Drosophila melanogaster: one gene and its partner. The protein of the gene in region 2 interacts with the protein of the main gene of each other region in a pairwise test. Each region holds a gene or a part of one and is shown on either strand. Other genes may lie near its edges. The genes, in order: CG14151 and CG2247.

The links.
Region 1: the proteins of CG2247 (region 2) and CG14151 interact in a two-hybrid assay, tested with the Drosophila melanogaster proteins (one large-scale study listed by BioGRID).

The regions. Positions count from the first base shown.
Region 1 is NT_037436.4:10,627,152-10,630,376, forward strand, and holds CG14151 (uncharacterized protein), read right to left. Parts: upstream 1,334-3,225; 5' UTR 1,303-1,333; coding exon 1,189-1,302; intron 1,129-1,188; coding exon 897-1,128; intron 835-896; coding exon 590-834; 3' UTR 529-589; downstream 1-528. Other genes in the region: CG34238 (uncharacterized protein), read left to right, coding at 1-224; CG42536 (uncharacterized protein), read right to left, coding at 2,067-2,158, 2,209-2,307, 2,361-2,508, 2,567-2,650, 2,714-2,845; CG42535 (uncharacterized protein), read right to left, coding at 2,949-3,010, 3,064-3,144, 3,202-3,225.
Region 2 is NC_004354.4:11,605,516-11,613,205, forward strand, and holds CG2247 (uncharacterized protein), read right to left. Parts: upstream 6,138-7,690; 5' UTR 6,017-6,137; intron 5,320-6,016; 5' UTR 5,314-5,319; coding exon 4,962-5,313; intron 4,899-4,961; coding exon 4,687-4,898; intron 4,199-4,686; coding exon 3,887-4,198; intron 3,793-3,886; coding exon 3,188-3,792; intron 3,126-3,187; coding exon 3,038-3,125; intron 2,985-3,037; coding exon 2,719-2,984; intron 2,638-2,718; coding exon 2,499-2,637; intron 2,441-2,498; coding exon 1,268-2,440; 3' UTR 775-1,267; downstream 1-774. Other genes in the region: CG1703 (uncharacterized protein), read left to right, coding at 6,663-7,690.

The DNA of each region.
Region 1 (3,225 bases), on a different chromosome or scaffold from region 2:
TTTGCCAAGCCTGTCATAAGGCTATAGCCACAAAAATAGCACAACAGGAAGCTTGTATGGATTATGAAAGAGAACACAGTCACCAAAGGCATCATTTTAATTATGGCGAAACCAAAAGACCTATTCAAAACCAAAATAGCAGGGGAAAAATAGTTAAAAACTCTCCGTCACAACCAATGAAGATGGGTTTTTTCAGACCTTCAGACAGCAGCTCAACAACGTAAAATGAAGGGTTATATATATTTATTTTATAGCTAAAATATTAAAAGACAAGTTTGTAAAAATATTAAAAATATATTATTTATCTACAGGGCATGCAACTCTTCGAATTCGTTTAGCTGCATTTGTATCTCTAGATTTTTTCTTTACTCACTGCTGAGCAAATTATTTTAAAAGGATTTTGTGTTTAACATTGGCGTTCTTGTGTGTGTGTGTGTGAGTGGCTTGTGTAGGTGTGAGTGGTCCGCATCCTGCGTGTGATAAAAGTTAAAGAGCTTGTCTCAGACAAAAAGAAAAGTTCAAATCAATGCATTCAATTTCATGTTTATTTTAAAAATATAAAAATCAATACTTTAAACACTTAATACCTTCACTTTCGCATTTGTTTCTGAAGTTTTTTGAGAACGGCTTTATCTTTTTTCATACGCTCCTTGGCTTGTTTTTCCATCCGTTTCAGATCCTTGCGATCCAGTGGCTTTTCCTCTTCCTCAGCGTATTTCACATCACAGCCACTCCTTTCTCTATACTTCTCATCGGGAGGCGTTTCTGTTGCACTGTAATCAATCATATCCAGATAAAGTAGGTATATGATATAGACAAAAGTCATTTCCACGGCTAAAAGGAAATTCAATTATATATTCAGTAAATTAAATACGCTAATTATTATTTAGACCTACCCAGTCCTACGAAGGGCAGCACTGTGATTTTGACACCTTCCCAGTTCACAGATATGGCCAAGGTCAGGCCGTAGAGCAGTATAAATCCATCTAGAAGTATTCCCAAGCAGGTGAACACCAACCAGAATCGTACCAGTCCCAGTTTTCGCCTATAGATACCCGCCATCAAAACTATGATTATAACCATCCAGAAAATGGTGAAGATCAGTGCAACCAAGGCGGTCCAATGACCCTGCAAATACCAAAATTGAGCCACAATTTCCCTGAAAGGACTGTGGCCTAATTGTCTTACATGCCTGGCAAATACCACTCCTGAGATAATTGCGAATAGCAGGGCGGATATGAAGTCCAGCAAGGCGATGCAATAGGCACAGGGCACTAAATATCCATCAGAATTTGACCCCATCGCCCAGGCTAAGATTCATCACATCACTGGCAATGTTGTCTACTAAATCAAAGCTATAATGATGATAAGCACGTACTTGGCGATTGGAGAAGGGGGTTACTCGGGTCTTGGCGGCCTGTTAATCAAAGCCGTTTGATTGCCAACATTCATGGACACAGCACAGTGGTATTCAAGCGTGGGAATGTAGGGAGACTCAGTGGCCAAAAGTACAATACACTACAGAAGTTTTCAATATATGCCAAGTTCAATGTTCCTGCGAATTATATTTAGTTTCATGAATTTTTTTGTAATTTCCGTTTTAATTTATACATCTAAATTACATGCATTTATAATCTCTTCATTCAAATACTGAGCTCTAAAAATAGCTGCCAAGTGTATTCCCAAAACATTCTAAACCAATGTGAACTGCTTTTTGCTGGCGAACTTCGTTCCTCATTTATGGCATTTGTTTTGTCAGCAGGTCCTGGAGATTGAATTGTCCTTTTTCCTGGTCCCTCGATGGCAACGTGACCACCTATCGTCCTCGCAGGCATCGGAAAATAGATGGAAAACTGTATAAGTCAATTATTATCATTGCTTATGGGGGGTCGGGAATTGATTTCCCGTAAATAGAAATCCAAATAACACATGAAGAAAACCATTTTTAATTTATTTTAGTAACTCCAAAGGGATTTTGAACCGTGTGTGGACATTGAACATAATGAAACGAACATAAATGATCATTATTAATCAAGCTTTTTGCTGTTTTTGTCCAAACTGGCATTTTATCCTTTAGAAGATCTTCCAGAAGTCCTGTATTTTGAACTTGGAGATTGGGTTTGAGTCTCATTATCTCTGTAATCTTCTGTTTTTCTATCTGAAATTTATGTATAGTATATCGTATAAATCTGTGCTTAAGCTATTCACCTTTAGTAGTCGTATCATAATTATCACCCTCCAAAAGGACGTAGGAATATAATCTCCTAAAGTATCTGAATACCAAGTATAAGCAAGTGACCTCGTAAACTGCAAAGATTTATAATTCAATGTCTAAGAATGCTATTAAATTAAAAACATACAGATTCCCAAATATGAAATGGTCCAGCGCTTTAAATGTTCTGCGTCGAAAATAGGAGATGAAGTAACATTCCATATTAAATAAATAATATCCGTAGCAGTTGCAAAGGCAGTGAACAGTAACCAAAATACGAGCAGAGTTGGTCGACTCTAATTAATACGAAACAGTTAAATATGTATATAGTTGGTAAATTTTTTTAATTCTTACTGTCAATAAACCAACAAACAGTCCACCAACGGTCGCAATCCAAGCTATTGTACTTAGAAAGGCCATTATGGTATACCAATTCGTCTAATGCAAAACAATAAATGGCTAAAAATGTTAAAGAACGTTCTTTTCAAATACAATACTTACGTGCAAGACCATGAGTGAAACTGAACTAAATGAAAAATACAATGAACGCACCAGTTCAAAAGCGCCAATAACAAAGCATGTCCTTAGGAGATTATCCGTAGGCAACTTTAGCTCTCCCGATTCAATAGACATTTTGTAAGAAATAAATTTATTCGATACACAAATGTTTGAAACAATCTAATAAATATATATTTTTTTAGTACGGAAATACAAAGCCAACTAAAGTTGAAAGATCTTATTTTTTGCCTTTCTTCTTTTTTGGGCTTTTAGACTTTTTCTTTTCGTTTTTTCCGCCACCTATATAAAATCGATTAGTAGTAAAATGTAATATTAGTTTAAAGCTATCTTACAACATAGGGTCCTCTTCTTTTTCGATTCATCCATAATCTGATAGTACCGATGTATGAAATATATGCAGGCGCTTTCAACAACTAAAATTATACTTAACATTAGAATTGTATTTGATTTTAAATTTAAATATCACTTACATATTCCAAGGAAAATTATTGAAA
Region 2 (7,690 bases):
AGGTTGCAGTACGCACAGTACTATATATAGGATTTCTTCTGACCATGTGCCTATGCCAGCTGCAAAAATAATTTATTTTTTTACAACTTGCCATGTCAGCTTCATTCCCAATCCGAAAGTGGTGCAAGCATGTCGTACGTATTTTTATATATTTATATACATACATACATATATAGTAACGTAATTATGCCTTCCTCATAATTCTCTTATACAAAAGACCGACCGCGGTGGTCCGCCGTATCGATTCCTTGTTACTCGATATTGCGCATCCACTTAAGCCGTAACCAAAACCCAGACACTAGGCAGGCACATACATAGCCACGTAGCACATAAGAATTCTTTTTCATATGTATGCACAAAAGCATAAGCAAGAAGCGCTCTCGCGCAGATCAAGTAAACAACCCACTAACCAAGTACATTTAAGATTTTCTCACACCATTTGTTTCAGTCTTAAGCTGATATTCAATCAATAAAAACGCAAAGCGAATTCATTCGAAGTTTTTATTCATTTCGGTTCAAATACGGATCATTTATTCGACTCAAAAGCAAAAATTATTTTACTATATGTATTCTCGATCCACATGACGCGACGCGGCGCAACGAAATGTCGACGGAGAACAAAACTCAGAGCTGCATTTGTATTACACATTTCGTTGACATTTTTTTTTTTTCAAGAAAAACGAGAAATATCTTTAAACAAAGTGTACTGTATATTTTTGGAGATTTATTATTAAGATCTTATATATTTAAATGTAATAAAAACAATGTCTTTGTACGAAGAAGATGGGTGTTTTGCGTATGATTTTTATTTTTTTAATTGTGTCATTCATGTTCAAATGTAATGAGTACAACTTTGATCTTGCCTTCGTAGGACCAGCAAGACCAGGCAGAACTACTTACACGCAATCTTACATAAGTACTATATTTTTATAGTGAAATTTATAGTTCACTTCCCAAAACAGTGGTTTAAGTCGATTTAGTATGATCCAGCAATTAACCCATTTATTTATTATGTTTACATGTTTTTCTTTTCTGTTCATTACAAGCTGTCAATTTGTAAGCAGCGTCGCTTGATTGCATCGTTCACAGCTTGGGACAAAGTAATGTACTGAATGTCGTTCAAAGATATTGTTGAGAGTGTGTTTAAATGTGGTGTTCGGAGGTGATGCTTCTCGAGAAGACTCAGTCTTGGCATTCTCTGCTACTGGGAGGGCTTATATATGAGCTAACTTATGGCACCTAGGAATAACTAGTGCGTTAAACGTTCTTACTTGTTTTTCAACTGTGGCCGTTTGAGGAAGGTAACCATGGTGCTGTTGAACATGTTCACCTTAACAAACGTAACAAATGTTGTTGGTGCCACATCGCGCAGTATCATCAGCAAGCGCTTGGCGGGCAGAAAGGTAACGCATTCCGTGTGGTCCGTTTCAATGCAACGGTCATCGGGAGCACAATAATTAAGGTCATCGTCCAGCGGAATTCCCGGTACAGGGCGCTCCACGGGGATCACATCCTTCTTACTTCCCCTGTACAGCTCACCCGTTGCACTCAACAGCTGGGTAACCAATCCTAGGCGGAACACGCGAAGCTGCGAGGCATTCTCGCGAACGGCCCGCATTACGGAATAGATCACGTTGGCCGAATTTTGAAGACACTTTGGGACGAGCAACAGGTGCGTAACAGTGGTGCACATTCCAATCAACGAAGTTAGAAGGTCATCCACCTCGACGTTCACCAGCTCCAGTTGCTGTACCGAACAAGCAGCGGCTACACCACACATAATGTGGTACAGCGGAAAAGTGGTATTGATCATGTGCTTGTTCTCCAAGCGGAGCCTGCGTAGAGACGTTAAAAAGGGCAGCACTTGCTGGCCAAATTCCTCGGTATCCATGCCCTGGCATGAAGACAACACTAGCACCTTCAGGTTAACTAGTTTCTTCAAGAAGCGGAAGTCCTGCGAGCCTATATAATTCACTCCACGTATATTCAACTCAGTTAGATGCACCAGGTCGCCCAGAGAGTCTAGTGATTCCACTTTGCTTCTGTGGTCCGTCATTAAGATTTGAAGCACGCGAATCTTAGACCATTGTCGTGCCAAATTTAAAAAATTAAAAGTTGGACTGTAGCAGATTGCCCTTAGCTCCAGCAGTTGGGGCAATTCACGAAAGACCTTAAAGAGGAACTGGTCATCTACTGGACAAGTGCGAAGAACACGCAATGCTTTCAGGACGCTAATGTCGAGTGTAGCGAGAATATCCGGAGGATTCGGCAATATCACGCCCAGCATGTCCAGTTCGCGTGTGCAATTATTTGCGAGTTCACGGATAAATCGCGGCCAGTTGCTGATATGGGTATCGCGTAGCATGACTGTGCGCCATACACTCTTATCCTGACTGATCATGGCCCATGTTTTGCAAACCTGCGCCATATTTACACGATCCTATATGGGATGGGATGGGATTACGAACTTCAATTTTACGATGACCTAGACATTTTACCTTCATCGTCATGATTTTCATAACGGCCATCACTATCTGGCATCCGATGTGACAATCGCCCAGGCTCTGCACCAAACTGGAGCTACATTTGTCCTTTGAGATCTTTTTAAGGCCAGCCAAATTCTGCCGGTTTGGAATCCTGATAAGTTGAGGAAAAACATATAAATAACTGTGCGTTTCGTAGGTTTTTTGCGTTGGTCTTGGAACTAAACCGACTCACACTTTCAGATTGCAACCAATCGGATCGGCTATGATGGCTATAGCCTTGCGCCCTCCAATTACAACAACCTCTTGTTCCTTTATAACGGTCTGCTTATTCACGTTTTCTAACTGCTTTTTCTCCGCCTGTTGAACGGATATTTCATTTTCCAAAGTGACTTCTATCATGCTGAAGTCACTGTCATCGTCATCATCATAATGATCCTCATTTCCTCCAGTCTTTTTCATCCATTTCTTATTGGCATATCCCTTCTCATAGATACACTTCTGAAAGAGGATATTATAAGCCAGTGAATCTCCAATAGCATTTCGTAAATTACCTTGCACAACTTAGGTCCAGACGGATGAACAGAAGCCGCGCAGCGCACACAAGGCTTTGACTTATCAGGGGCTGCCTTTGCGTGAGCTCTGGACATGAAAATACCGAGTATATAGAGATTGATATGTGTATATATATACAATATATCTACCTGCGCCTGCGAATGTTGGTATTACCAATCGGTGAACCGCACGAGCTGCTGTTGGTGTAGTCTGCCCGAGAATTCCCCTTAACCGCCCTGGTCGAGGTCCAGCCCTCACTCGGTGGACTTGCCCCTTTGGGCACCTTGGGCTTCGACACTCGCTTTCCAGTGACCGTTAAGGCAGGCGTCTGGGGCATTACGTTGGACGGGTTGGCCAACCCAGCCTTGCCTTTCACCACCGCCCCTTGCTTCGCCACCGTTTTGCACTTCACAACCGCCACATGTTCCATCTCCGCCACCTTTGGGACCGGGCTACCATTGCTGCGAGGCCTGGGATTTTCGGAGCTGGGTATAAAGAGATCTCGCTCTACGCCAGTTTGCTTTAGGCGTTCGAAAATAACTTTCAAAGAGGTTTCGGTGGATGTTTCTTTCATTATGTTCGTCTCATCGGTCAGAGGCGTATGGCTACTGAAGCGCACTGAACGACGCGAATGCTCCGGAGGCGAATGGGTGGACATAGAACGTTTTACGATGCGAGCGTCCTTAAGTGATTTGTGCAAGGTATGATCAGCTTCCGCCTGCTTCTTGGTGGTATCCTCTTTTTTATCTTCAACCTATGGGGGAAGATACAAGAGGGAGAGAAGATCAATGGTTAGTAAATCTGTGAAATTTCCGACTCTTAGCATAAGATTTTTTAAGGGTCTCCACCTGGTTGTATAAGTCTGATGGTTGCATGTTGGTTGGTGTTGTACTGGACTTGGATGTTGTTGCAATACCAGTTGCATTTGGACTTTTTTTTGCGTTCAAAGGGCTTTTAATGGCTGCATCCAATTCCCCCTGGGAGGCGTCGAGTGGCGACGTCATTATCGGCGTTGTTAGAGACGGCTGCTGCTGCTGCTCCTCAGACTTATTAGTGATATGAGCCGGCTTTGTTGTACCTGCCGCTGTCTCCTCTTGTGGTTCCACTCTCGGAAAAACCTTTAGGCCACTCCATGGCAGTACACCTGGCTTGGCCGTCGACTATTGCCGTAGTGTGCATGTTGTGTATTGTTTGGTTGAGATTTGAGATAAGCACAGATACGATTTCGTGTTGAGAAATACAATAATATAGAACAAACAAAACGATGTCCGCACAACATAGACCTCTGTATACCAGTTACCAAGTTTGATTGGAAAAATAGTCAAAAAACAGTTTATGGGGATCTAATAACCTTAAGTTCTTTCGATTTATGCAAATTTCCGTCCCAAGATTATTTACAATATTTTTATGTTTACATAAGTTTACTTTACAGGTAAAAGTAATTTGAGTATAAGTTTTAAAATAAACTTATACTCAAATTATATTGATTAATTATGTGTATTTGTGAATAAATACCGACCGAAAGGGATATTCAAATTAGCCCATTTGTGGATTGAACATGAGTATACAGAGGTATGTTCTATAAGCTTGAACAGACAGCAGCAGGCCAGCTCGTGTCCTGGACAGCATCGCCATCCCCTCTACTCACCAGCGGTTCTTTATCCGAGTTGCTTTCGATGTTGGATATGGGTGTTAGCTTTGGGAATTCTCCAGTCCATCCCATTAGACCTAAATCGCACGGTTCAAGATCGTCACGATGCGTGCTGGGCTCACGATGACGTTCACGTTGACGGCCACGGCGTCTGCGGCGTTCAAATTGACTCTTGTCATTTAATGTCTTTGAAGTCTTAATCATAGTACCTAAGTGGGTTTAGATGAGATGTGTTATTATGCTACAGATGCTGGTTATTTATTTATGCTTACTTTTTTTTCCCTGCTCAGTGTTCGAGTCTTTAAAGCTAGAGCCATCCCGGTGAGTCGAAAGATCCACGTTTGTGGAATTGGCATTTAACACCAGCAAGTCGCCCTCAATAATGTTTTGTCCCACGCCGGCACTCTGTTCACCAATGGAACCTTGTTCATCTATAGCACCGCCTGTGCTACTTTGATTGGCGCCGGAACTAGGTCCTGCAGCTGTAGATGATTCGAATGCGGAATCAACGTTACCGTTACCACCGGTATGCGACGATGAATTGGTAGCGCTGCTAGAGTTGCCAGCTAAGGGCTGCTTGTCACACGGCTTTGACGGCCCAAAATTGTCATCGGGCACATCCATGTCGCTCTGGAATCGATGTGCAAAAAAATAAGCTAAGTTTCTAGATATATGTTGTATATGTTCTCATAAAACATTAATAGTGATCACTTATGGAACCGATAGGCAAACAATTCAATGGAATTTCGTCTGTCAAAAATATTGACCCTGAAGACCTGGGTTGTCACTTTTTCCACAACCGACGTTTTATTGTCAAGTCATTTAATTTAAAAAGTATGCGATGTAAATTCTAATCAGAGTTAGCCCTTTTTAATACAATACTTTACAATAAACGAATTCTGCCGGTTAATCTGCACACAACTCACACACACACACACACACATGTAAATTTATGCGAGTGTCAGGGTTGCGCGGCTTCGCGGTTTGTTTTCTTTACGTTTCTGCTTTGATCGCCACAATTGTTGATCGAGAGGAAACCTGACGCACACATACGAAAAAACTGAATAGCGGGTTCTTGCACTTTCGCCGGCACAAAGTACACAGTTTTTCTCGTTTAAGTTAAATTTACTATCACTCTTTCGGACCGTTTCGCTTTGTTACTGTGTTTTCAGCCTATGCTTTGCCGCTTCTTCGGCGTATCGCGAACTTGCGTTGCAAGTAAGTGTGTGTGTGGATGCGACGCTTATTAAATCTGCACCGGATTGTTCAGCTAACCGTGTCAAAATCATGTAGAACTCAACAATTTTGTTTTAATTTTTGAGCTTACCTTTGTAAAAGAAATAAAAAGTTCACTTGAAAAGACACTGAACACGACAACTTCTTTCGGAAATATAAAACGAACCTACAAGCGTACTTAACTTGTCGACTTCCACTCACACAATTATTCGGTTAGATGGAAAATCTCGACAACGATTATTCAATACTATCGAATGAGTTGTAGGATTTTCTAACACATGTAAATACCAAATTTTAGCATATGATATGTTTTAAAACTTACCGGCATATACATTCACTGAGATCACAGATTTTATTCAAACGAATGTCTTAACATATATTTATATATATATTTATATTTATCTCAACACTTAAATACTAAAAGACACGTTTATCGAAATTGCCATTTTTGGAGACACCTAACGGGTTTTCCATCGCACAGTTTCGTTCCATGTGCTGTCATCGATAGTCCAACAACAAAATATCGCGTGCAATCATCCCTGGCGACACAACTGGTTGTACATATGTATATAGCGACATTACACACCTACATATATACACCTACATATTGCCAGCTCTGCACGTGAAATCCGAGGGCGGCTGTTGTAATCTGTGATCAAATCAAGTGAGTCCAAGCGCTAAATGCAAGTACTATAGGCCATACAATAGCATCTCTTTATCCCTATGTGTTCACAGACATGTCCAAGGCCAAGGGTAAGAAGAAGGAGCGCTTTGATGACGACGAGGAGCAGCTGGAGAAAGTGCAGGAGAAGAAGCCACCGACAAGCAAGAAGGGTGGTAAGAAGGGAAAGCGAGGAGGTGGCGGCGGCGACTCCAGCGACGAGGATGTCACGACCAGGAATCGGGACAACGAGGATCTGGAGAGCATAGCCTCATCGAATCAGAGCAAACAGCAGACTGCCGGCAAAAAGCAGGCCAAGAAGGGTAAAAAGGGCAAGAGGAATAATGACTGGAGCGACGAGGATGAGAAGCCAGAGAAGAGTTTGCCTGCCAACGACTTGGACGATGAAGATGACGACGAGGCGCCTCTGGCATCCAAGCCAGCTGCTAAAAAGCCACAGCCCAGCAAAAAGAACAAGAAGAACAAGAAGAAGAACGACGATTTCTCGGACGAAGATAAACCGGAGCTGGACTTGGACGACCTGGACAATGAGGAGGATGAGGTGGAAGTGGTTGCTGTCAAGCCAGCCTCCAAGAAGTCCAAGAAGAAGCAGCAGGCTCAGCAAAAGAACATGTTCGCCATGAGCGATGATGAGGAGGATGAGGTTGCCGATGATCTGCCAAATGACAGCGAAGAGGAGGAGAAGGAACAGCTGTCCAACAAGGCGGCCAAGGAGTCAAAAAAGGAACAGCAGAAGCAGCCCGAAAAGGAAGTGGAGGAGCAGAAAGTGGAGCAAGTCCTTAGCGAAAAAGTGGCGGCAGTAAGTCTCAAGGAAAAGACACCTGAGCCGGTACCCAAGGCCGAGCCCGAACCCGAGTCTGAACCCCAACCCGACGAGGAAGCCGATGCTGAGGTAGATTCCAAGTTCGAGGAGAGCAAGGAAGCCAAGGAGAAGAAACTCACTCACAAGGAGAAAAAGAAGCAAAAGAAGCAGCAGGAGTACGAACGCCAAATGGAGCTGATGACAAAGAAGGGTGGTGCCGGTCACTCGGACTTGGACAACAATTTCACCATGTCGCAGGTGCAGAAGAGCGCTGGTCAAAA